Linked DNA regions of Saccharomyces cerevisiae S288C. The protein of the gene in region 1 purifies or fractionates together with the protein of each later gene. This does not show direct contact. Each region holds a gene or a part of one and is shown in the gene's direction. Other genes may lie near its edges. The genes, in order: GLO3, SEC21 and SEC26.

Evidence for each region.
Region 2: the proteins of GLO3 (region 1) and SEC21 purify together in Saccharomyces cerevisiae (affinity purification with mass spectrometry; 5 studies listed by BioGRID, with this or other methods). This does not show direct contact.
Region 3: the proteins of GLO3 (region 1) and SEC26 purify together in Saccharomyces cerevisiae (affinity purification with mass spectrometry; 4 studies listed by BioGRID). This does not show direct contact.

Annotation. Positions count from the first base shown.
Region 1 is NC_001137.3:401,067-407,831, reverse strand, and holds GLO3 (ADP-ribosylation factor GTPase-activating protein), read left to right. Parts: upstream 1-3,479; coding exon 3,480-4,961; downstream 4,962-6,765. Other genes in the region: DSE1 (Dse1p), read left to right, coding at 1-490; casein kinase YCK3, read right to left, coding at 1,445-3,019; YER121W (uncharacterized protein), read right to left, coding at 5,113-5,457; phosphatidylinositol-binding protein SCS2, read right to left, coding at 5,963-6,697. UniProt on the Saccharomyces cerevisiae protein: GTPase-activating protein for the ADP ribosylation factor (ARF) family. Involved in retrograde vesicular transport from the Golgi to the endoplasmic reticulum.
Region 2 is NC_001146.8:89,028-97,157, forward strand, and holds SEC21 (coatomer subunit gamma), read left to right. Parts: upstream 1-2,966; coding exon 2,967-5,774; downstream 5,775-8,130. Other genes in the region: CCR4-NOT core subunit CAF40, read left to right, coding at 1,276-2,397; U2 snRNP complex subunit CUS2, read left to right, coding at 6,196-7,053. UniProt on the Saccharomyces cerevisiae protein: The coatomer is a cytosolic protein complex that binds to dilysine motifs and reversibly associates with Golgi non-clathrin-coated vesicles, which further mediate biosynthetic protein transport from the ER, via the Golgi up to the trans Golgi network.
Region 3 is NC_001136.10:935,937-943,996, reverse strand, and holds SEC26 (coatomer subunit beta), read left to right. Parts: upstream 1-3,180; coding exon 3,181-6,102; downstream 6,103-8,060. Other genes in the region: SNU56 (Snu56p), read left to right, coding at 1-323; YDR239C (uncharacterized protein), read left to right, coding at 577-2,940; mitochondrial 54S ribosomal protein uL5m MRPL7, read right to left, coding at 6,504-7,382. UniProt on the Saccharomyces cerevisiae protein: The coatomer is a cytosolic protein complex that binds to dilysine motifs and reversibly associates with Golgi non-clathrin-coated vesicles, which further mediate biosynthetic protein transport from the ER, via the Golgi up to the trans Golgi network.

The DNA of each region.
Region 1 (6,765 bases):
TGAACTACTATTAACCAAGCAAGTCTTCCAATGTGGAAACATTATTGTGAGTGGTATGAGTGATAAAAATATTTGCTTGAAGAGCAATGACACTAAGGCCAATGGAAAAGGATGTGGATTTTTATTCCTTGATATGGCAAACGATGGAAGTTTAGTAACTCTTGACAATTTTTGTGAACTGGGATTACATCAAATTTGTCAAGTTCAATTCAATGTCGATACCGGTAAAATAATCGATGGTAATGGTACTGGGAAGAGTGGAATATCTGATTCTTCTATGTTATCATTATCCAATGAGAGTGACCATAGTATGACAGAAACATCTGATGATATGTTCTCAAATTCTGGTAATTGGGATTGTTCTTCAGCAAATACTGTTAGCGAAGGTAGATTGAATGATGACCAAGAGGATATCGTCTTCACAAAGAGGATGTATTCTGTAAATGATGTGCATTTAAGTGGATCTACTATTGATACTACTGTTGTCTAGTTTCCTTGAGTGCTTTCAAATAAAAACAAATAACATATCAATGAATCAAAGTAACATTTCTTTGAAGATAATTTCTTTGTCTGTCACTCAGAATGCCCTTTATTACTAACGACCATCCTCCTTGATGAAGGTGAAAATCAATAAAATTCAAATTGTGACCCAAGTCCAGTCAGTGGATCCTTCTGGTAACACAAGTATTCGGTTTTTTTTTTTTCTCCATGATCTGTATGTTTTACTAAGCTTTGAATTTTTCTTACACAATGTATATATATATATATGTGTGTGTATATCAAAACAGCGCGCGTAATTGTATGTAGCATTTAGAATCAAGTTCAATGCCGAAATTTGTTATGGTTGCCTACGTTTTTTTGGCTTCTTAATTTAATATCAAAATCTTCACGATATGCATTCATTCTCAAGTTTGTAATTGTGCATTTTTTTATATATAGTCCCGCTCTCAAGTGAATTAGAAAAGTAAAGTATACACGCAAAACAAGGGCGTAAATAAAAGAAAACGAAAAAGCAACTAAATAAAAGCTTACATCCAAGTATCAAAGAAGTCGCTCACGGTTTCTCCAATTCTTGAACCTTGATTAATCATAAATTACATATTATTTTGGATATTCTTAAAAAAATGCTATAATAGTGCTTGAAGATAGATTTAGCACACCAAAAACATACCGGGATTAATATATATGTGCGTGTAGTCTTTTGATAAAGGAATATACAGAAGGAAAACGATTACGATGCTGACTATGTCTCATTTTCTTCTTTTTCCTGTTTCTTTACCCTCTCCGGAATTCAATTATTGTAGATGATAAAATAAAGGGTAACAGAGAGAAAGAGAAACAAAATAATACATTATTGGAAAGTCATAAATTGGGAAAGAGCGGCATAAGGAAACAGCCAATCAAAAAAAAAAAGGAAAAAGAGAAAAGTATAAAAATCGCTTTATCAACAGCAACAAAAACAGCAACAACAATATTTGTATATTTTAGAACAAAATGTATCATTCTCGTCATCAGAATAAGCATCATTTTCTTGTTCGTAATTTCGTTGACTTTGATAATTGATATTCTTATTTGCAAGGTTTGTGTAGTGGTTTGGTAAGTTGTGCTCATTATTACTTCTTTTAGGGTTAGCTTTAGAACTTGAATATGGTACAAATGGTGAATTTTGTGTATGACTGATGGAGTCGTACGTTTGACTTTGACTTTTAATTGGCCGTTGAAGATTTGAATGTGTTTCAGGAATATATTTACTATTGGGTTCGATTTTTTTCAAGACGTGTTGTTGTTTAGTAAAGCTCTGCGGGTTCGAAGAAATTCTGGATTTCGAATTGTCCTTGTTATAACTGTTTTGAGCTTGTTGCTTAGGTGTCGCAACTGGCGTTGTATTTCGTGTCTTTGAATTCGTATTCACATTGTTTCTTGCAGTATTGCCATTGACTCTTGGATTTGGATTTCCGTAACCATGCAAGTTAGCTCTTCTATTAATCTTGATATTCCAGCCTTTACCACCATTCAAATCCATCCAGTCATAGTGTCCATCATCCTTTAAGTCGTTTAATCTCAAAGCGTCATCCATTAACGAGATTAAATAGTCATAATCCGGATCTTCGTCGAACTTCAAGGAACGTGCATATTTTAAATATGTGGCAAACTGATAAGGAATAGCATTATTCAATAAAAGATCATCAGGATTCAATTTCTGTTTAGTCATACCAATCTTTTCATACTTCAGTTTGTTGTTTGGTGCTTTCAAACCTTGCCATGGCAAGGATCCCCTCAAGAAATAAAAAAAAACGTGACCTAGCGATTCTAAATCATCCCTACGTGACTGTTCTCTTCCAAAATGAGTATTAATAGACATATATCTGGCGGTACCGCTCAATGATTTTCGTTCACGGTATGGTATATGTTGTTTCGTTCTTGGATCTCTATATTGTTTTGCCATACCAAAGTCAACCATGTATATTAAATTGGGATCATTATTAGAAGAGGAGGCACATGATTTAATGACTTTTCCTTCAGGTGAAATTCTTTGATATTGAGAAATTAAAAAGTTATCGGGTTTAATATCGCGATAGATTAAGTCGTGATCATGAATTGCTCTAACTCTATCAATCATTTGCTTGGCAACCATACAGGTTGTTTTCACTGAAAATTTTCTACCACACCACTCAAAGAGATCTTCCAATGATGGCCCTAGTAAATCGATAATCAAGATGTTGTGCATACCTTCTTGACCAAAATAATAAGCATGGGGAATTCCAACGCAGCCATTCAATATCCTATAGGCTCTAAATTCGTCACGCAACTGGGGTGCGTCCGAATGTCGCGGTTCGAATTTAATTGCGACTGGCTCGTTCGCCATTATTATACTAGAGTCCCTCTTGCTACCGGTCTGCGCTTGACAAGAATGAAGAATGTTCTCTCCCTCAAATATTACTCCGAAAGACCCTTCGCCAATCTTAGGTCCTACAGCATAATGAATACCTACAATGTGTTGTGAAGATCGTTGGGACATCTTTCCTTATCGTCCTTTTACACTTTTTCTTCAGAATGAGATACCACTTTTGATTAGTGGACCGTAGCACGTATACCCTTAAATAGCAGACAATTCTTGCAAAACGGATTTCCTTCTTTTTTAAAAAACAGCAAATAATACCAGTACCTAGATGTTACGAATGCTGTTCCCCTGTTACTCTCTAAGCTGCCCTTTTCAATTCACCTATAGAATGTTTAAAATTTTACTTTCAATATTGGTATTATCTATGACACAAAAGGAAAAGTAACATCGTTTGGTCATTTTCGACGACACGGTAAAGTTTCGAAAAAAAAAAAAAAAAAAGAAAACAACTATTCTTCGTAAACACGATTTAGCTGGCATTTTATAAAAGGAGATCAAGGCGATAGCAAAGAAAGGGTATTTGTTAAGTACTTGTTGATCCGGTCTTCTTGAGCAATTTAGTATACACATAGCGACAATGAGTAACGATGAAGGAGAAACATTTGCCACGGAACAGACTACTCAACAAGTTTTTCAGAAGCTAGGTAGCAACATGGAAAATCGAGTTTGTTTTGATTGTGGTAACAAGAATCCTACTTGGACTTCGGTACCTTTTGGTGTGATGCTGTGTATTCAATGCTCTGCTGTGCATAGAAACATGGGTGTTCATATCACCTTTGTAAAGTCTTCTACATTAGATAAATGGACAATTAACAATTTAAGAAGGTTTAAGTTGGGTGGGAACCATAAGGCTCGTGATTTTTTCTTAAAGAACAATGGGAAACAGCTACTAAATACAGCAAATGTTGACGCGAAAACAAAATATACGAGCCCTGTTGCTAAGAAATATAAGATACATCTCGACAAGAAGGTTCAAAAGGATATGGAGTTATACCCATCAGAATTAGTCTTGAACGGTCAAGATTCTTCGGACTCACCGTTGGACACCGATTCAGACGCTTCCAGGTCGACTTCCAAAGAAAATAGTGTTGACGATTTTTTCTCTAATTGGCAAAAACCAAGCTCCAATTCCAGTTCTAAACTCAATGTAAATACAGGCTCTCTCGCCCCAAAAAACAACACCACAGGCAGCACACCCAAGACCACTGTCACTAAAACGAGAAGTTCCATCTTAACGGCTAGCAGAAAGAAACCGGTATTAAACTCGCAAGATAAAAAGAAACATTCAATTTTGTCTTCGTCAAGAAAGCCCACTAGACTAACCGCAAAGAAAGTCGACAAATCACAGGCAGAAGACTTGTTTGATCAATTTAAAAAAGAGGCTCAACAAGAAAAGGAGGACGAGTTCACTAATTCGTCTTCTAGCACCAAAATTAGACAAAATGATTACGATTCCCAATTTATGAATAACAGTAAAGGCAACAATAATAACAGTATAGATGATATTAATACCCAGCCTGATGAATTCAATGATTTTTTAAATGACACTTCAAACAGCTTCGACACAACTAGAAAAGAACAGCAAGATACTTTAACACCCAAGTTTGCCAAATTGGGATTTGGTATGACCATGAATGACGCCAATGATTTGGCAAAGCAACAAAAAGAATCTCAGAAAATAGCTCAGGGACCAAGATATACGGGCAGAATCGCGGAAAGGTACGGCACACAAAAAGCTATATCATCTGATCAATTATTTGGTCGTGGCTCATTTGATGAAGCAGCAAACAGGGAAGCGCATGACAAGTTGAAAACATTTGACAATGCTACATCAATTTCCTCTTCTTCATACTTTGGAGAAGATAAAGAAGTGGATGAATTTGGTAATCCCATCAATAGTAGTGGAAGTGGAGCAGGGAATTTTGATGGCCGTAATTCTAATAACGGTTTCATCGATTTTAATGCCTCCGCAGATGATGAATTGCAGATGTTGAGAGACGTTGTAGAACAGGGTGCTGAAAAACTCGGTAGTTATTTAAGGGACTACTTAAGAAAATAAGTTTAATTTTCTCTTTAATTGAATTTTTTTTTTTTCATTGTTATCATTGTTTTTTATTCTCATTTTTCATTATATGATAATTATATTTATGGTACATAGAAACGGTTGTATATGCATTGTACGTGCGTTTATTCTTATTCTTCATCCCCCCTTATCTTAGTTTAAGGTTTCTAAAATCGAAAGTTTCATGTGCGTATGAAGCGGTTGAAAATGCAGACGAGGTAGCATTTGGTTCATTAGCATTATAAACACTTTGCTTTAAAGAAGGTAAGTTATTTTCGACATCTCTGTTTCTAATTGCTTCATCGTCCACATAGGGAGAGTCTATACCCACTTTCCAAAACGAGTTCATTACTTGATTACCATATTCGTTAGAAACACTTGCATTTAAACTATCACTTGCCGCAAGGGCGTAGTAGTGCGCATCCTGTTGCATTTCTTCGCTCTTTTCCTCTGCTGGCCTTGAATTCTTGTCGTGCCAGCGCGATAAGCCCATGTTACTATATTGTCAATATGTGAGTCCCTCGTTCACTATGAGACCTAGCAAAAAACAAACTGAAAGTAGGTGGCTGTTTATGTATTCATTTATTTATGGACCTTTTAGGCGCGACCCCCTCGCAAGATCTTCGTTAATGTGCATCCAAGACCCTCCCCTCATTTAGTAGACCCCGCATTGTTATGGTTAATAACGGATAGTTATTTGCCCAAGATAGCGCCTACTACACTAGGGAAACCGAACATGAATAAATTAAACAAGTAATATGTTACAACAGTGGTATAGTTATCGATTATTCTCCTATTTAAAAAATAAAACATATAAAAAAGTTAGGAAAGTATGATCTTTTAGTTCCTTGTTCTAGTATTGTAAAGGCTACAGAAGGAAACAATAAAAAAAGATTGTAGAAAAACAAAGTAAAATAAAGACTGAAAGGAAGGAAAGGGCAAAACACACACATATATAAATATATATTTAGAATACAGCTATATCCTCAATCTCCCTATTATCTGTAGAACCATCCTAAAACCAAGATAAGGAGTGCAACCAATATGAATATACCCATGCTGGATGATTCATTTTCTGCAGGTACGGTTGCGGCTTCCTTTATCTGGTTCTGTGGGGCCGGAGTGCTGTTGGACGTTTGCTTCTCATTTTCATGAGGAACGGTTTTCTGAACGACAGGTGGGACCTCTTCTTTCTTTACTTGGACGGGAGGTTGAGTTTCCGGTTCAGCAGGGACCTCCTTTTCGTTTACCACAGCAGGCACTTCCTTTGGCTCACTGTCTTGGACTACTGGTTCAACAGTTTCCTTGTTTTCCTGTATATTTTGGTTCTGTGCTGGGTGTACATCTGGACTTATCAAATATTTGACTTTTATCTTTTTAGAGATAGCCTGTTGCTTGAACTCAGCCTCCAAGTCGGACCAAACATCTGCAACAGCCTTGCCATTGAGGTCGTAAGGAGAAGGCAACGTGATAACCAGGAACTTGTCACGGCACTTAAAGTCTGCGGCAGGCTCTTCAGTCAAACCCAGGAAGATAACTTGAACCTGGATTGTTTCACCTGGAGCAACAACTGCGGCGTTTGGTCTCACGCAGTAAAACTTTGGGGCTGTGGTCTTGACCTTAAATGCAATGGTTTGGTCTGAATTGTTGGAAATACTAGCGTATTCTGTCGATTGCTCCGTTAATGGAGACTTATACACCAACACGTCAGGGGAAATTTCAACAGCAGACATACTTAGGTTCGCGGAGATTGTAGAATACCCTTCTGCTACACTATTAACACAGAATGTGCGTCAAACCA
Region 2 (8,130 bases), on another chromosome or scaffold:
AGTTTTCTCTCAGTGGTTTATGTTTTACATATGATAGAAAAAATGAAGCAATAGCAAAGTATCGTAGTGCGAACCGGTCTCGTAACTTTGATAAGTTTATCAAAGGCGTTAACATTTTGTTTCGTAATAGTACCTTAACACATGACGAAGATGAAAATTAAACATGAATTCAAGGAAAAATGGTAAATGACGAGAAAAAAGCTGTGCACCAGTCTGAACATGGATGCCACAAGTACTCAGGTGTCCTATGAAGCATTAAGTATACCCAAATTTCTGATCCATTTTCCTTTATTTTCTTTTTTTTTTTTCTCTCACATCTGTGACTGTATTATGAGCAAACTGTTTACGTTGAACGGAATCGATATGTAAATTAAATCTTTTGAAATATGTAGGACAGTGCTTGTATAGGTCTGTTAAGTAGATTATAGAATGTACGCCTTTTTTCTGGGCGTGAAATAGATCAGAAATCCTGTTAGGTTGCCACTGGTCCATTTCAGTGTTGCTCATCCAATCAATCATGTATTTACATGCCTGGAGTGGCCTATTCTATGTATTAACAGCCTTTGCAAGACGCGACATTGTTCTTTCCGATATGGCTCGGAGTAGACTAAATATGCTACTTATAGTTTTTCTTGCGTATACCATTGTCTTATAGTTTTTGCACACATTAATGTTTAAAATTGAAACTACGAAGCAAAACAATAAAAAAAACAAACAAAACTTAAAAATAAACAAAAGACGCTCGAAACCAAGTGCATTTATTGAATGTTTTTGGGAATGCAAGTAGCAATACTATTGTAAAAGTACTACTATTTCCCTGTATCATACGCTTTTACTACTATTCCTCACATAAAGCGAGATGCTTACAGAATGCATAAGAGAGAGAAGAAAACCCTATTACGCCCACTTGTCTATATTAGATTACTGTCCCTATTTATATCATCATTGCAAAACGTGAGCACCTCATTAGACGTAGATTCTTGCATAAGTATTACTAGCAGGAGAGGAAAAACTCCACCCACACACCTCAACATGCTGAGAATTTTGCTGCGAGCAGCAAGAGGCAAAATCCAAATTTAAAGTAATTTACGCATAGAAGACATTGTAAAGGGATTGCAAAGACGTAGAGTACGCAAGTTAGAAACCGTTCATCTTTTAAAACTCCCAAGTTTTGACAAATTTGCGAGTGTGTGTGTTTCTGCTGATCTTGACGAGATTAAACTTTGTTCCTGAAGCAACAACGACAGCAACTGAACATCCTCTGAATAAGTTAATATGTTTTCCGCTCAAAAGCCAATATATGGCAATGGAGCAGGCGTGAACATGGGTGGTGGTGGTCCTTCAACTAATAATCCAGGATCTATGTCCATGCCTGGGGTTCCAACTTCAATGGGTCCAGGCATGAATCAACAAATTCCAAGTGGAGGCCCCATGCTAATGGGCAATACTCCGAATAATAATAATAGCAATGAAAATGGCGAGAACAACGGCAATAACGGCAATAACGGCGGTAACGATGCTAACGCAACTCGAAACAATCCCAACATGGTCAATAATAGAGGCGCAGTGCATGCTCTAGATGATCCCAATGTATACCACTGGATTTGTCAATTGACCTACGGCCCTCAAAAGGAACAAGCACTGCTTGAATTAGGTCGCAAAAGAGAACAGTTTGATGACCTTGCCGTTGTGCTTTGGTCTTCCTTTGGTGTAATGACCTCATTGCTGAACGAAATCATTTCCGTATATCCCATGCTGCAACCTCAGATGCTCTCTAACAATCTATCAAATCGTGTATGCAACGCTCTAGTTCTTCTACAGTGTGTTGCATCTCACCCAGAGACAAAACATCTCTTTTTACAGGCCCATATTCCTCTCTTTCTTTTCCCCTTCCTAAATACTACCTCCAGGCAAAGAACTTTTGAGTACTTGAGATTGACTTCATTAGGTGTGATAGGCGCATTGGTCAAAAATGACTCACAAGACGTAATAACGTTTTTGCTAAGAACCGATATCGTGCCGTTATGCCTAAGGATCATGGAATCTTCTTCTGAGCTTTCCAAGACAGTCGCCATTTTCATTTTACAGAAAATCCTACTAGATGACGTTGGATTGCAATACATCTGTGCCACCTTGGAAAGGTTCTACGCCGTAACTAATGTCTTAAAAGATATGGTTGAGCACTTGACCGTGAGCACACCACCGGGACGACTACTGAAACATATCATTAGATGCTACTTAAGATTAAGCGACGATCTCGAAGCACGCAGGCTATTGAAAATAGTCTTACCTGCCAAACTGAGAGATAACACTTTTACGGAAGTACTAAGAGACGACGTCGGGTCCAAGAGATGTCTGGCACAATTGCTACTGACATTAAACGAAGAAACCTCATGATGCATCCCCATAGATATATTACTGTTTTTCTCTTTCTATTTTCCTGTATTGTTTTAACCTTGCCTTTTTGTTTTAGTTTCACTTCCTCACCTCTCCTAATTTTGTATAGTTATATTTATATGCATGAAATGTATAAAGTCCACTCATATTTCAGAATGGTTTAAGTTAAGTGCCAGAAGGTTCTTCTGTACTATTACTATTACCCATTTTTCATCCTATCACCCGGAATGTACCCCTTGTGTCATTCACTACGACGCCACGAACCACGATTCTATTTTTTTCGAAATCTAAAGGTTTCGTCAAGATCAATGAAATATACATAGGCGTTTTTTTGGATACGAGTTGCATTGTTGAGAACACAATTCTTTACAAATAAGTGCAAGGGAGGAATTGTGTGTGCTCATTACCAACGTACTTCTTCAGTTATTCTGCTAAACCCGTTTTTTTGTTCTTAGCTTCATCCAGGTGAGCCCGCAAACATTACAGAACGACGTATAATACAAAATAACTAAACAAATACGGATAGGACAAAAGCCAAGAAGCGATACTAAATCACAGAGCGAATCAACATGTCTGCACATACTTACAAAAAGTTTGAAAACTCGACCTCGGGCGATTTACCTGATAAAATGACCATTTATCAGGATTGTATGAACACGTTTAACGAATCACCTGTCAATTCCAAGAGATGTCGTTTATTGATTTCTCGCTTGCTGAGACTCTTGGCCCAGGGCGAAACCTTCCCACAGAATGAAGCAACTGCATTATTTTTCTCTATCTCCAAATTATTTCAACACCAGAACGATCCTTTAAGGCAGGCTGTTTATTTGGCAATCAAGGAATTGAGTGGCATTTCGGAGGATGTGTTGATGGCAACCTCTTCAATCATGAAGGACGTTCAAAACGGTTCCGATTTGATTAAGCCTGACGCTATTAGATCGCTGACTTATGTCTTGGATGAATCTACTGCTTTTTCCGCTGAAAGGTTATTAAAAAGTGCCGTGGTAAGTAGACATCCTTCAATATCCTCAGCAGCATTATGTACTTCTTATCATTTGCTGCCCATTTCAGAAGTCACTATCAGAAGATTCACCAATGAAACTCAAGAAGCTGTTTTGGATTTGAAACAATTTCCAAATCAACACGGTAATAGCGAATATTATCCAAACTCCACTTATATTTCTCAATATCATGCTCTTGGGTTGCTTTATCAACTGAAGAAAACTGATAAAATGGCGTTACTAAAATTGGTTAGACATTTCTCTGAAAACAATTCTATGAAAAATCAATTGGCCAAGGTAGAATTGGTCAAGATTGTCAACGATTTGATTTATAGGGATCCTCAATTATTTAGTCAATTCAGGCCACTTTTGTCTGATTGGCTATCCAACAAGTTCGAATCTGTTCAGTTGGAAACGGCGAAATTGATTACTTCTTTCGCTACTCGCAATTCCCGCTTAGTGGCTCCCGAGTTATATGCGGCAGCTATCAGTGCTTTACAGTCCTTACTGACCGTTCCTCGTGTTTCTTCTAGATTCGCTGCATTGAGAATCTTAAATAGAATATCCATGGTTTCACCAGAAAAGATTGTTGTTTGTAATCCTGAACTAGAATCTTTAATTAATGATTCTAATAGAAACATTTCTACTTATGCAATCACCACTTTATTGAAGACAGGAACTTCCAAAAATATTTCATCTCTGATTTCGACTATTACTAATTTTATCCATGATGTCAGTGATGACTTTAAGATCATTATTATTGACGCCGTTCGTACGTTGTCTTTGAACTTCCCACAGGAATGGAAGTCAATTTTGAACTTCTTAATCGATGTTTTGAAAAATAGTGAAGGTGGATTCAAATTTAAAAACAGTATTGTCGAAGCATTAATCGATATTGTTTCATTTGTTCCACAGTCTAAAGAACTCGCCTTAGAAAACTTGTGTGATTTCATCGAGGATTGTGAATTCAACGAAATACTAGTGAGAATACTACATCTTTTGGGTAAAGAAGGTCCATCTGCCCCAAATCCATCATTATATGTTAGACATATTTATAACAGAGTGGTGTTGGAAAATTCTATTATTAGATCTGCTGCCGTTGTAGCTTTATCTAAGTTTGCTTTGACGAAGAACGATCCTACCTTATATGAGTCAATCATAAGTTTGTTAAAGAGAATCGCTAATGATAAAGACGATGAAGTCAGAGACAGAGCCACCATTGCACTAGAATTCATTGATTCGGCTAGGAATAAAGATGATGTTATAGCACAAAATCTAATCGAATCCAAATATTTTTACGATATTCCATCATTAGAGTCAAAATTAAGTTCTTACATTTCCTCAAATACTGATTCATTTGCAACTGCATTTGATGTGAATCAAGTTCGTAAGTTTACTGAGGATGAAATGAAGGCAATAAATCTGAAGAGAAAGCAAGAACAAATTTTCAATCAAAAGTCTGAAACCACTTTGGATACTACACCAGAGGCAGAGAGTGTTCCAGAAAAAAGAGCTGACGCTAATTCATTTGCTGGTCCAAACTTGGACGACCACCAAGAAGATCTACTAGCTACTAAGTACGCTGACGAATTGCTATCCATTGAACAAATTAAACCATTTGGTCAATTAGTAAATAGTTCTAGGGCTATCTCATTAACTGAGCCAGAAGCAGAATTCGTTGTACGTGGTGTCAAACATCTCTTCAAAGACAATGTTGTTTTACAATTTAATATTACGAATACTCTGACGGATATTGCCCTAGACAATGTTTCTGTAGTCTGTACCCCTGAAATTTCTGATGAAGCTGAATTAGAAGAGCTATTCACCCTACAAGTGGACAGATTATTACCATCCGAGGAAGCAGCTTGTTACGTTGCATTCAAAAAACTTGATGAAATTGTAATGGAAGGTTTCTTGAACAACTTAACATTCACTACAAAAGAAATAAACCCTGACACTAATGAGCCATTTGATGGTGATGAAGGTTTCCAAGATGAATATGAAATTGACTCGATTTTCTTGAATGCTGGTGATTATGTTAAGAGTTCTTTCACTGGTAACTTCTCCGCTACATTTGATGAGTTGCCATGCGAAGAAGTTGCTGTTTTCAACATTCAAGAAGATTTATCCATACAAGAAGTAGTAGATAAGATTATTTTGAACAGTAGCTGCTTACCGGTGGAAAGTACCCAATTTGCTCCAAGTGATTCAAACTCCCACACCTTGAAATTATTTGGTAAGAGTGCTTTAACTGGATCTAAAGTAGCCCTACAGATTAAGATGATCAAGAGTTCGAAAGGTCTTGCTTTGAAAGTTCATGGTAAAGGTGAAGACAGCTTATTATGCTCTGATCTGGTGAATGGTCTAATGCAGTAAGCTGTGAAATTTTATTTCAGTTAATCCCTTCTTTTGTTATCAATAGTATTAAAAGAAATGCGTCAGCTTTAGCAAGCGTGCATGCAAATAAGGGAATGAACAGCAAGAACAATAATAAACCAAAAAAATCACGGATAGAATATGACGGATCATCACCACACGAAGAATAAATTATGTAATCTTTGTATAAACAAAATTTTTAAAGAAAAATACTATAATAGTTTGACAAGAGAAAACGAAATGGAAGAAACAGGACAACAGGGCAGAAAAAAGTTGACATTATGCAATTGATGAAAGAAGAAGAAGAAAAAAAACAAAAAAAAAGCACTAGTCTGACCAGGCATATTGTAAAAGGCTGCAGACCCTTGAACGCACTACACTTTTCACTGTATTCCGTTACCAACATTACTGTTTGACAGCGATGGATGCTGATGAATTGGAATTGAAAGGTCATTTGAAAAAATTGAAAAAAGAAGAATTGCTTAGAAGGAAACAGTTAAAAGAGAGTAATCTTCAGAAAAGAGAGCTTGAATATAATAATGCCTCAAAAAATACTTCAATATATATTTCTGGTCTTCCCACAGACAAAACAACGAAAGAAGGACTCACTGAGCAGTTTTGCAAGTATGGAATGATAAGAACCAATCGAGATGGGGAACCCCTTTGCAAGCTATATGTGAATGATAAAGGCGCTTTCAAAGGGGATGCCTTGATCACTTATTCCAAGGAAGAAAGTGTTACATTAGCAATCGAAATGATGAACGAGTCGATCTTCCTGGGAAAACAGATCAGGGTCGAAAGAGCCCAATTTCAAAACAAGGAAGGTGACAATATGCACGGGAAAGAAAATGATTTAAAGGAGTTCAACGGACCTGAGCCTCCAATAAAGAGGCTAAAAAAAGCGAAGTCTGAAGGGGAGGGGGAAGTAATAGATTACAATGACGATGAAAGCCTAGCAAAAGCTGATCGAACGGTGATATTTGCCAACGTATTCAATATTTACAAATCATACACAAATGATGATATAAATGATATTCAGGAAGATCTTTTGGAAGGCTGTGAAGAGATAGGTCAAGTAGACAGTATATCTGTATCTCCCAATAAGGGGGAAGCGACGGTCGTCTTTAAGAACAATAAAGTTGCATTGCAATGTTGCAAAATCATGACCGGACGTTATTTTGATGGGCAAAAGTTGCTTGCTTTCATTTCTGGAGATGAGAACACTTCAAGCACAAGTGACAAGAATGAGGACAGCGAAGTGGAAGATGACCTTATATAGAACTGCAGTAAAAAAATGTATTACCCCCATATCTTTGGTACTTAAGTAAAATAAGTGAACACAATGTAATAAACAGAATGGATTAGGGCTTTATGACTTCCCAGTACAAAATAAATGTCGATATAATACTTGAAAATGCAAGCAATGCCATCAAAAAATTTGAGCGGTACGAGAATCGAACCCGTGTCCCCACCTTGGAAGGGTGGGATGATAACCACTACACTAACCGCCCATGTGTTGGATGGTGTAACTGTAATGACGAGGTAATAAGTGATGGCGACTATATCACCACCGAAACACAGCGATTACTTAAAAGGGTAATCACTACTGCGATTCTAATTGTTGGAATAAACCAAACCTCTTCCGATAATGTTGGAACGAGAGTAATTAATAGTGACATGTGTTGCTATGGTAACAATCTAATGCTTACATCGTATATTAATGTACACCTCGTATACGTTTAAGTGTGATTGCACCTATTGCAGAAGGAATGTTAAACGAGAAGCTCAGACAATACTGAAGCTGTGTTTGAGAAATGGGTGAATGTTGAGATAATTGTTGGGATTCCATTGTTGATAAAGGCTATAATATTAGGTATACAGAATATACTAGAAGTTCTCCTCGAGGATATAGGAATCCTCAAAATGGAATCTATATTTCTACATACTAATATTACGATTATTCCTCATTCCGTTTTATATGTTTCATTATCCTATTACATTATCAATCCTTGCACTTCAGCTTCCTCTAACCTCGATGACAGCTTCTCATAACTTATGTCATCATCTTAACACCGTATATGATAATATATTGATAATATAACTATTAGTTGATAGACGATAGTGGATTTTTATTCCAACATACCACCCATAATGTAATAGATCTAATGAATCCATTTGTTTGTTAATAGTTTGAATGTTTTTATCGGAAGAGGTTTGGTCATTACGTCTGCAATATTCTTTTTGGTTTCGATATAGCATACGTGCAGATGATTTCCTGATACTTCATCTCTCAATCTCATTGCTTTAGTACCAAAAAATCTGTTCCTAAATTTCTCTTCATTATTGGATATAATTA
Region 3 (8,060 bases), on another chromosome or scaffold:
TAAAAGCTTCTATGGATGCAGTGAAAAAGAAGTCTTCGTATCAGATTCTAAAGACATACGTTAGGTGTCCAAGACAAAATTATATTGATATTGTTTATCAAAATCTAAATGATCTACGATCAAAGACAAATTGTAATATCGTCGTATTGAATCTGAATAATCTTCACGAGTCACAAATGTGGCTTGAATCTTTAAATACAACAAATTACACTATTTTTGCTCAGGCGCCTCACCCAAGTACCATCCGCGTTATTAGTATTGGTGGAGTCGGTGAATATATAGTCAAAGCATTAGAGCTGATATTGAATATATTAGAACATTGAGTCGCATATAACAGTGGAGGTGTATAGATATATTTAAAAAACCTTTTGGTTATTTTTTCTCTTTCATGGCATTTGCTCCGTATGCAAAGCGATAGTTTAATTTAATGTTTTCTTTCAAATGTCATCGCGGATTCAAAGAGCGCACTATTATTATTTGGCAAAAGTTTAAGAGGGAAAATGTTGAAATAGCATGTTCTGCAAAGCGAATTACAGGTTTTGAAGGAGTCTACAGGTAAAGTCTAATAATACAGTGATGTTTGATGGCTTTAGCAACAATAAAGGTAAACGAAGGTCTTTTTTTCGGTTTGGTTCTGAAAGTAAAAACAATGACTCTGAAAAATCCGTTAGAAAGCCATCGGTGCCCTCTACAATAAAGAAATCAACAAATATCGCACGAACTTCGACGGCTGAAACTTCTGCCCCTGATATACCGCCAAGAAGTCCAAATAGGAATGCTCATAGCAGGAGCCATTCTATCCAGGCACCATTACAAAAGGAAACATTAAAGAATACTAATCCATTTTTGAATGCTGAGGATACCTTAGGAGATTCTCTTGAATTAACACAGTCCAAGGAAGCGTCAGGAAACGATCACAAAGGAATTGAATATTTACAAGAAAACAACATCATTGGGCAGAGAACCAACCCCTTCACAACAAGCGCAAATTCAAATGCACATTTCTCCAAGATAAAACGTTCGAGGCCTCCACCACCGCCTATGGACATGAAGTCAATAACAACGTCAATAAGCAACAATACTACTAAGGAAGAAATAGAGAGTAATAATGATTCTGAGCGGGATAGTATTGCAATCTCATCCACCCACAATCAACATAGGCGGCAGCGTTCAGAAGCAGAAAAGTTGGTAGATGATATTGAAAATTACATTAATGAACACAAGGTAAGTTCCGGTAGCTCACTATCCCTAGACACGTCTGAAAACTCAGATACTAAAGCATCGCAAGATAAGTTGCCAGTAGATGTCATGGAAGCTCCCATTTTGAGAAATGTCAGCGCGGAGAGTTCCTTAAGCTACGTAAAACCACTTATTGTGGATAATGAAGAAGTAAATAAAGCAAGTAACGGAAATTTAGTACAATCAGATCATCTAAAAGAATTTTCTTCGAATCTGGATGATGGGGATGATAAATTTTCCTTTAGTACATCGGCTAGTGGTAAATCCACCAAAAGCCTTCAGCAAGTTTCTAAAGACGAATCTAGTGGTTTTAAAGCTGCACATTTTGATTTTGCATATAAATCAAATGAGCACCTTGGGAGTGATGGAAGTATTGCAAGCGCCAGAAAGCCTCTGCGGATAACTAATGAGATTGATAGCGGTTCTTCCAACGAGGATGATGATGATGGTCTTCAGGAAAAAGGTTTTGTGGATAGTGAAAGTAAAGCATTTATAAATTACGCAAGTGATCAAGGCTCATCTATAAAAAATGACGTCTCAACACAAGAGCCTGAGTTACCAAGTCATCGTAGAATATTTAGGGTGGTTAATGAAGATCGCCCTAGTTTCTATTTAAATAGTGTAAACGATACGGGCAGTCTAACCGACAAGCATTCTTTTGACACTGCATCATCTGGTGAGTATGATGCCAAGTCAAACTTCTCTAGCCAGTCAGGACTTTCTATATCAAAAGGCTCTAAATCAACTGTTTTGGCTGCTCTTGACTCAAACGGAAACACAAAATCATCAAATAAAACATCCGAGTTAAACAGTTTAAACTCCATTTCAGAAAGTTTAGTGCCGGCTGCTCACTCGTTCAATGAACACACAGTTACTATCCCTGCAACGGTGGATTTACCAAATCCGGTACATGATGCCCCAAGCGAAAGATCTGTCAAATGTTCACCGTTAACATCTGTCGTATCGAACAAATCGGAAAAGTCCGTGCCTTTGGTTTCTAGTTACGTAGAAGAACTGCGACTAAAGTATTACAAGACTTCTAACTTTTTACAAGCGCCTCCTAACTTGCCGGTTGCTCTAAAACAAAAAAATAATTTGATTCAACCCAAGAATATTAAGGTCAAGTTGAGGACAAGTTCTAAGCAAATTGGTATCAAGCATGGTAAAGTTAAACAGAAATTACTGGCGTTGGAGACAAGAAATGAAGAATCAGATGGAACCGCTACAGGGCTGAAAAATAAAATCAATGTTGACCACACAAAGGAATTCCATAAATTGTTAGGGAAGGAAAATGAAACTGGCTCTATTTCAAAAAAAGAAGGCACTGACGCAGAACAAGCCGAAGACTACCTCAAGGACATACCCGGTGATGAAGCATATAACAGTGATGATATAATGGCGCCTTTACGAGAAAAAAGAGGGCAAAACGGTTCTGTTGATTCCGTGTCAAGATCTAACACGGTAGTCAGCTACTACACAAGGTCTCAGAACAGAATGAGAAGTGGAACACTGGATAATGATTACGTGAACAGACAAAAGCTTCCTACACATATCTCTCTTCAAGATTATCGTGATGCTAATGCTAGAAGTAATATATCGCGTCAGGACTCTGTCTCCACAACGAACTCTGATGTGGTAGACCTCAGCTATTCTCTGGGGCATGGCTTGCGTGTGGCAAACCCTGATTCAGACCCAGAATGATATCCTTCTCTGTAGTTTTGTAGATGTCATATATGTACGTTTATGGAACAGCATTTTAGAAAAGTATTACCCAGCTTATCACTTCGTTTTTTTTTTCTTTCCGTGTACTCGCTACACGTAGAAAGAAATCAGAAAACAACAGCTCGACAAGTGAAATTTGACGTTCATTAAGACTCAGTTAAGATTGCCTTGAGAATAAACAAAAGTAATCACAGTTAACTATTGAACAAGAGTGCACCTATGACTTCACTTTCTTCACAGCCAGCGTACACGTTGGTTTTCGATCCTTCTCCGAGTATGGAGACTTACTCGAGTACCGATTTTCAGAAAGCTCTTGAAAAGGGATCTGATGAACAAAAAATTGACACGATGAAATCAATTTTAGTTACAATGCTGGAAGGAAATCCAATGCCTGAATTGTTGATGCACATAATAAGATTTGTCATGCCTTCTAAAAATAAGGAATTAAAAAAGCTTTTGTACTTCTACTGGGAAATTGTTCCCAAACTAGCTGAAGATGGAAAATTGAGACATGAAATGATTCTTGTCTGTAATGCCATTCAACACGATTTGCAACATCCTAATGAATATATTAGAGGTAACACATTAAGGTTTTTAACGAAATTGAGAGAGGCCGAACTCTTAGAACAGATGGTTCCCTCTGTCTTAGCGTGCTTGGAATACCGTCATGCATATGTTCGTAAGTATGCAATCCTAGCAGTTTTCTCCATTTTCAAGGTCAGCGAACATTTACTTCCCGATGCTAAAGAAATCATCAATTCGTTCATAGTAGCTGAAACTGATCCAATATGTAAAAGAAATGCATTTATTGGGTTAGCTGAATTAGATCGTGAAAATGCCTTACACTATTTAGAGAACAATATTGCTGATATAGAAAACCTAGACCCTTTATTACAAGCTGTCTTTGTTCAATTTATCAGACAAGATGCAAACAGGACCCCTGCTTTGAAAGCCCAATATATCGAATTATTGATGGAACTGCTTTCGACCACGACTTCCGATGAAGTCATCTTCGAGACCGCATTAGCCCTAACTGTGTTGTCTGCCAATCCAAATGTCTTGGTTCCTGCGGTTAACAAATTGATTGACTTGGCCGTCAAGGTTTCTGATAATAACATTAAGTTAATTGTTCTAGACCGTATTCAAGACATCAATGCTAATAACGTAGGTGCTTTGGAAGAGTTAACCCTGGATATTTTGAGAGTCTTGAATGCAGAAGATTTAGACGTTCGTTCAAAGGCGCTTGATATTTCAATGGACTTGGCCACATCCAGAAATGCTGAAGATGTTGTTCAGCTTTTGAAGAAAGAGCTGCAAACAACCGTAAATAACCCAGATCAAGACAAGGCAATGCAGTACAGACAATTGTTAATAAAAACTATTCGTACCGTGGCTGTAAACTTTGTAGAAATGGCAGCAAGTGTTGTTTCGCTATTATTAGATTTCATCGGTGATTTAAACTCGGTTGCCGCCAGTGGTATCATTGCCTTTATCAAAGAAGTGATCGAAAAATACCCACAACTTAGAGCCAATATCCTTGAAAACATGGTTCAAACGCTAGACAAAGTGAGATCTGCTAAAGCTTACCGCGGTGCATTATGGATTATGGGTGAGTATGCTGAAGGAGAAAGTGAGATACAACATTGTTGGAAGCACATTCGTAACAGCGTAGGTGAAGTTCCTATCCTTCAATCAGAAATCAAAAAGTTAACACAAAACCAAGAACACACCGAAGAAAATGAGGTTGACGCTACCGCCAAGCCAACTGGTCCAGTTATTCTACCAGACGGTACGTATGCCACTGAAAGCGCTTTCGATGTGAAGACTTCTCAAAAGTCAGTTACCGATGAAGAACGTGATTCTAGACCTCCAATTCGCCGGTTTGTTTTAAGTGGTGATTTCTACACAGCTGCCATTCTGGCCAACACCATCATTAAACTTGTTTTAAAATTCGAAAACGTTTCCAAGAACAAAACTGTCATCAATGCTCTAAAGGCGGAAGCTTTACTAATTTTAGTTAGTATTGTAAGAGTGGGTCAAAGCTCTTTGGTGGAGAAAAAAATTGATGAAGATTCTTTAGAGAGAGTTATGACATCTATTTCTATTTTATTGGATGAAGTTAATCCTGAGGAAAAGAAGGAAGAAGTTAAACTTCTGGAGGTTGCATTCCTGGACACCACCAAATCCTCATTCAAGAGACAAATTGAAATTGCAAAGAAGAACAAGCATAAGAGAGCATTAAAAGACAGTTGCAAAAACATCGAACCAATTGATACGCCGATTTCTTTCAGGCAATTTGCTGGTGTGGATTCTACTAATGTGCAAAAAGATAGTATTGAAGAAGATTTACAACTGGCAATGAAAGGAGATGCAATCCACGCTACTAGCAGCTCTAGTATTTCGAAGCTGAAGAAGATAGTACCTTTATGTGGCTTTTCTGATCCAGTTTACGCCGAGGCTTGTATTACAAACAATCAATTTGACGTCGTATTAGATGTTCTTCTTGTTAATCAAACGAAAGAAACATTGAAAAACCTACATGTGCAATTTGCAACTCTTGGTGATTTGAAGATTATTGACACACCACAGAAGACCAACGTGATTCCTCATGGCTTCCACAAATTCACTGTTACTGTCAAAGTTTCCTCTGCTGACACAGGTGTCATTTTCGGTAATATTATTTATGATGGTGCGCATGGTGAAGATGCTCGTTATGTTATTTTAAACGACGTTCATGTTGACATTATGGATTATATCAAACCAGCCACTGCTGACGATGAACATTTCCGTACCATGTGGAATGCATTTGAGTGGGAGAACAAAATATCGGTCAAATCACAACTACCAACATTGCATGCTTATTTGAGAGAACTGGTCAAGGGAACTAATATGGGTATTCTAACACCATCAGAGTCGTTGGGAGAAGATGATTGTAGGTTCTTAAGTTGTAATCTGTATGCGAAGTCGTCCTTTGGTGAAGATGCCCTAGCCAACTTGTGTATCGAAAAGGATTCCAAAACCAATGATGTCATAGGTTATGTTCGTATCCGATCAAAGGGACAAGGTTTGGCTCTGTCCCTAGGTGACAGAGTGGCATTGATTGCTAAGAAGACCAATAAACTTGCTCTCACTCATGTTTGAACCACCCTGAGCTGATGCAATGTAAGTTATAATGTCAAAGGAGATAAGAATAAAACTTAAAAAATTCGAAAAGAAATAAAAAAATAAGGAAAATCTTTAAATAGATTTTAATTGCGTAGGAATCTTTGTTCTCATTTTTAAACAAGTATTCACTTTTATGTACATTTTCTTTCCTAAAAATCTTTATACAGAGTTGAGTTGTGAGTTGTGTAAGAGACGTCCAATTTTATAACAATTTGTAGACATCTCAGTGCCCCAAAGAGAACTATATGATTGAAAAATGGAGAGAGATAGTATCTTGTACAGTTTATATATTTACATGACGAATGGGAAATTATATATGCCCTTTGCCTTTCTGCCATAGAGCATGGCTAACTGGCCAGGACCATGAGATTGTATTCTTATTTCTCCTCTCCGAAAAATGGGAACTGGAACCCACTCAACAAAGTTCTCGCCTGGTAATCTAATTGAGCTGAGGTGTTTATATTTATGTGCATACCAAAAGTTTTAGGCCATGAGTCCTGGTTTGCATCGATTTCAGGGAAGAATTTGATATCTTCAGCCGTCAGGCCGAAACTAATCCCACCAAATCTGTTCCCAGACTGGTTGCTTATACCTTTATATTCTCTGATTCTTGGTAGGACGATTTCGGTCAATGTGCTTAAGAACTGAGACATTTCTTTTCCCTTTAGTTCGACTTTAGCTCCCATCTGATGACCTTTTCTCAGTTTCCAGGTTGGAACATCATTTTTGGAAAAAATTGGATGAGGTTTACATCCAGTAATTTGTTGTAATTGTAACGCAGCGGTGATAGCCAATAGCTGATTTTCTCTCGCTTCCCTAACAAAACAGTTTATTACAACACTTTCTAGCCCAGGAATGTTACTCCATTTGATAGGATGAATGTCAGGTAGTTGAGCTTTCGAACCTCGAGGATTTTTCGGTGGTCTGTTCAAGTGGTATGGCGAATCACCACTCCACGCTCTTTGTTTTAGACCCTTTACCACCGCAGCGTTATGTGAATAATTAATCAATAACAAATCAGATTGTAAAGTGTTAAGGTAATGGTCATTGAGTCTATCTGCATGAGTGTCTTTTGGTTTAAATCCAGGTGACCTAATATCACTTTTGTCATATTTCAATTCTGGAAATCTAGGGGATAACTTTGACTTATCAATTTTCACCAAGTGATGAACTGGTTTGACCAAAGAGCATGCAGATTTGGGCTTCACACAGGAGTGAGAGAATGATCTGTGAGTGACTAGTGAAAACCTTTGCATTTTGTTCGTGAATCTCGAGCCCTCTTCAAAGTGGTACAACTAAAAAAACAAAGGAGAGTATTTACACTATTTCCGGTCCTGTCTATTACTTTACAGATACCTCCCCAAATTAGTTATAAAATTCTAAACAGATGCTTTTCCTGTCTTTTTATTCTTCTGTTTTCGAAAGGCCCTTCGTAGATGATAGGTGATTTTGTCGTGTTCGCTTTTACCGTAAAGCGAATAAAGTAGTAGATGGGTAAAACTTGATGCGAAAATAGACAGTTTGCAAACAGCACAAAAGGAGCTCCGAAACAGCCTTTCTTCTTTTTCTAAATAGGTTATTAATGAAGAGTATGGGTAAGTCATTAAGGATTCACATTATGCAATCTTTCCCAGGGTCGGCACACCCACTTTCTAAAGAATCCGCACGCTTATGTTAGTTGGCAACGAATCACACTCAAGAGGTTTTACAATGAATACTGATCATGTGAAACATGATTAAGTTACTCTAATAGAGAATTGAATATCTTGATCACACTGCACTTCAGATGTTGCAATTGCGTTATAAGAGAGGATGTATTTGTAGTCCTTTATGCAGGAGGGTAATGCGTCAATTCAAATCGTTGCTTTAATACTCTGTCAGCATTGGTAACACTATTATTGGACGTACAAGACAATGTTCTAGAAAGTGGTAAT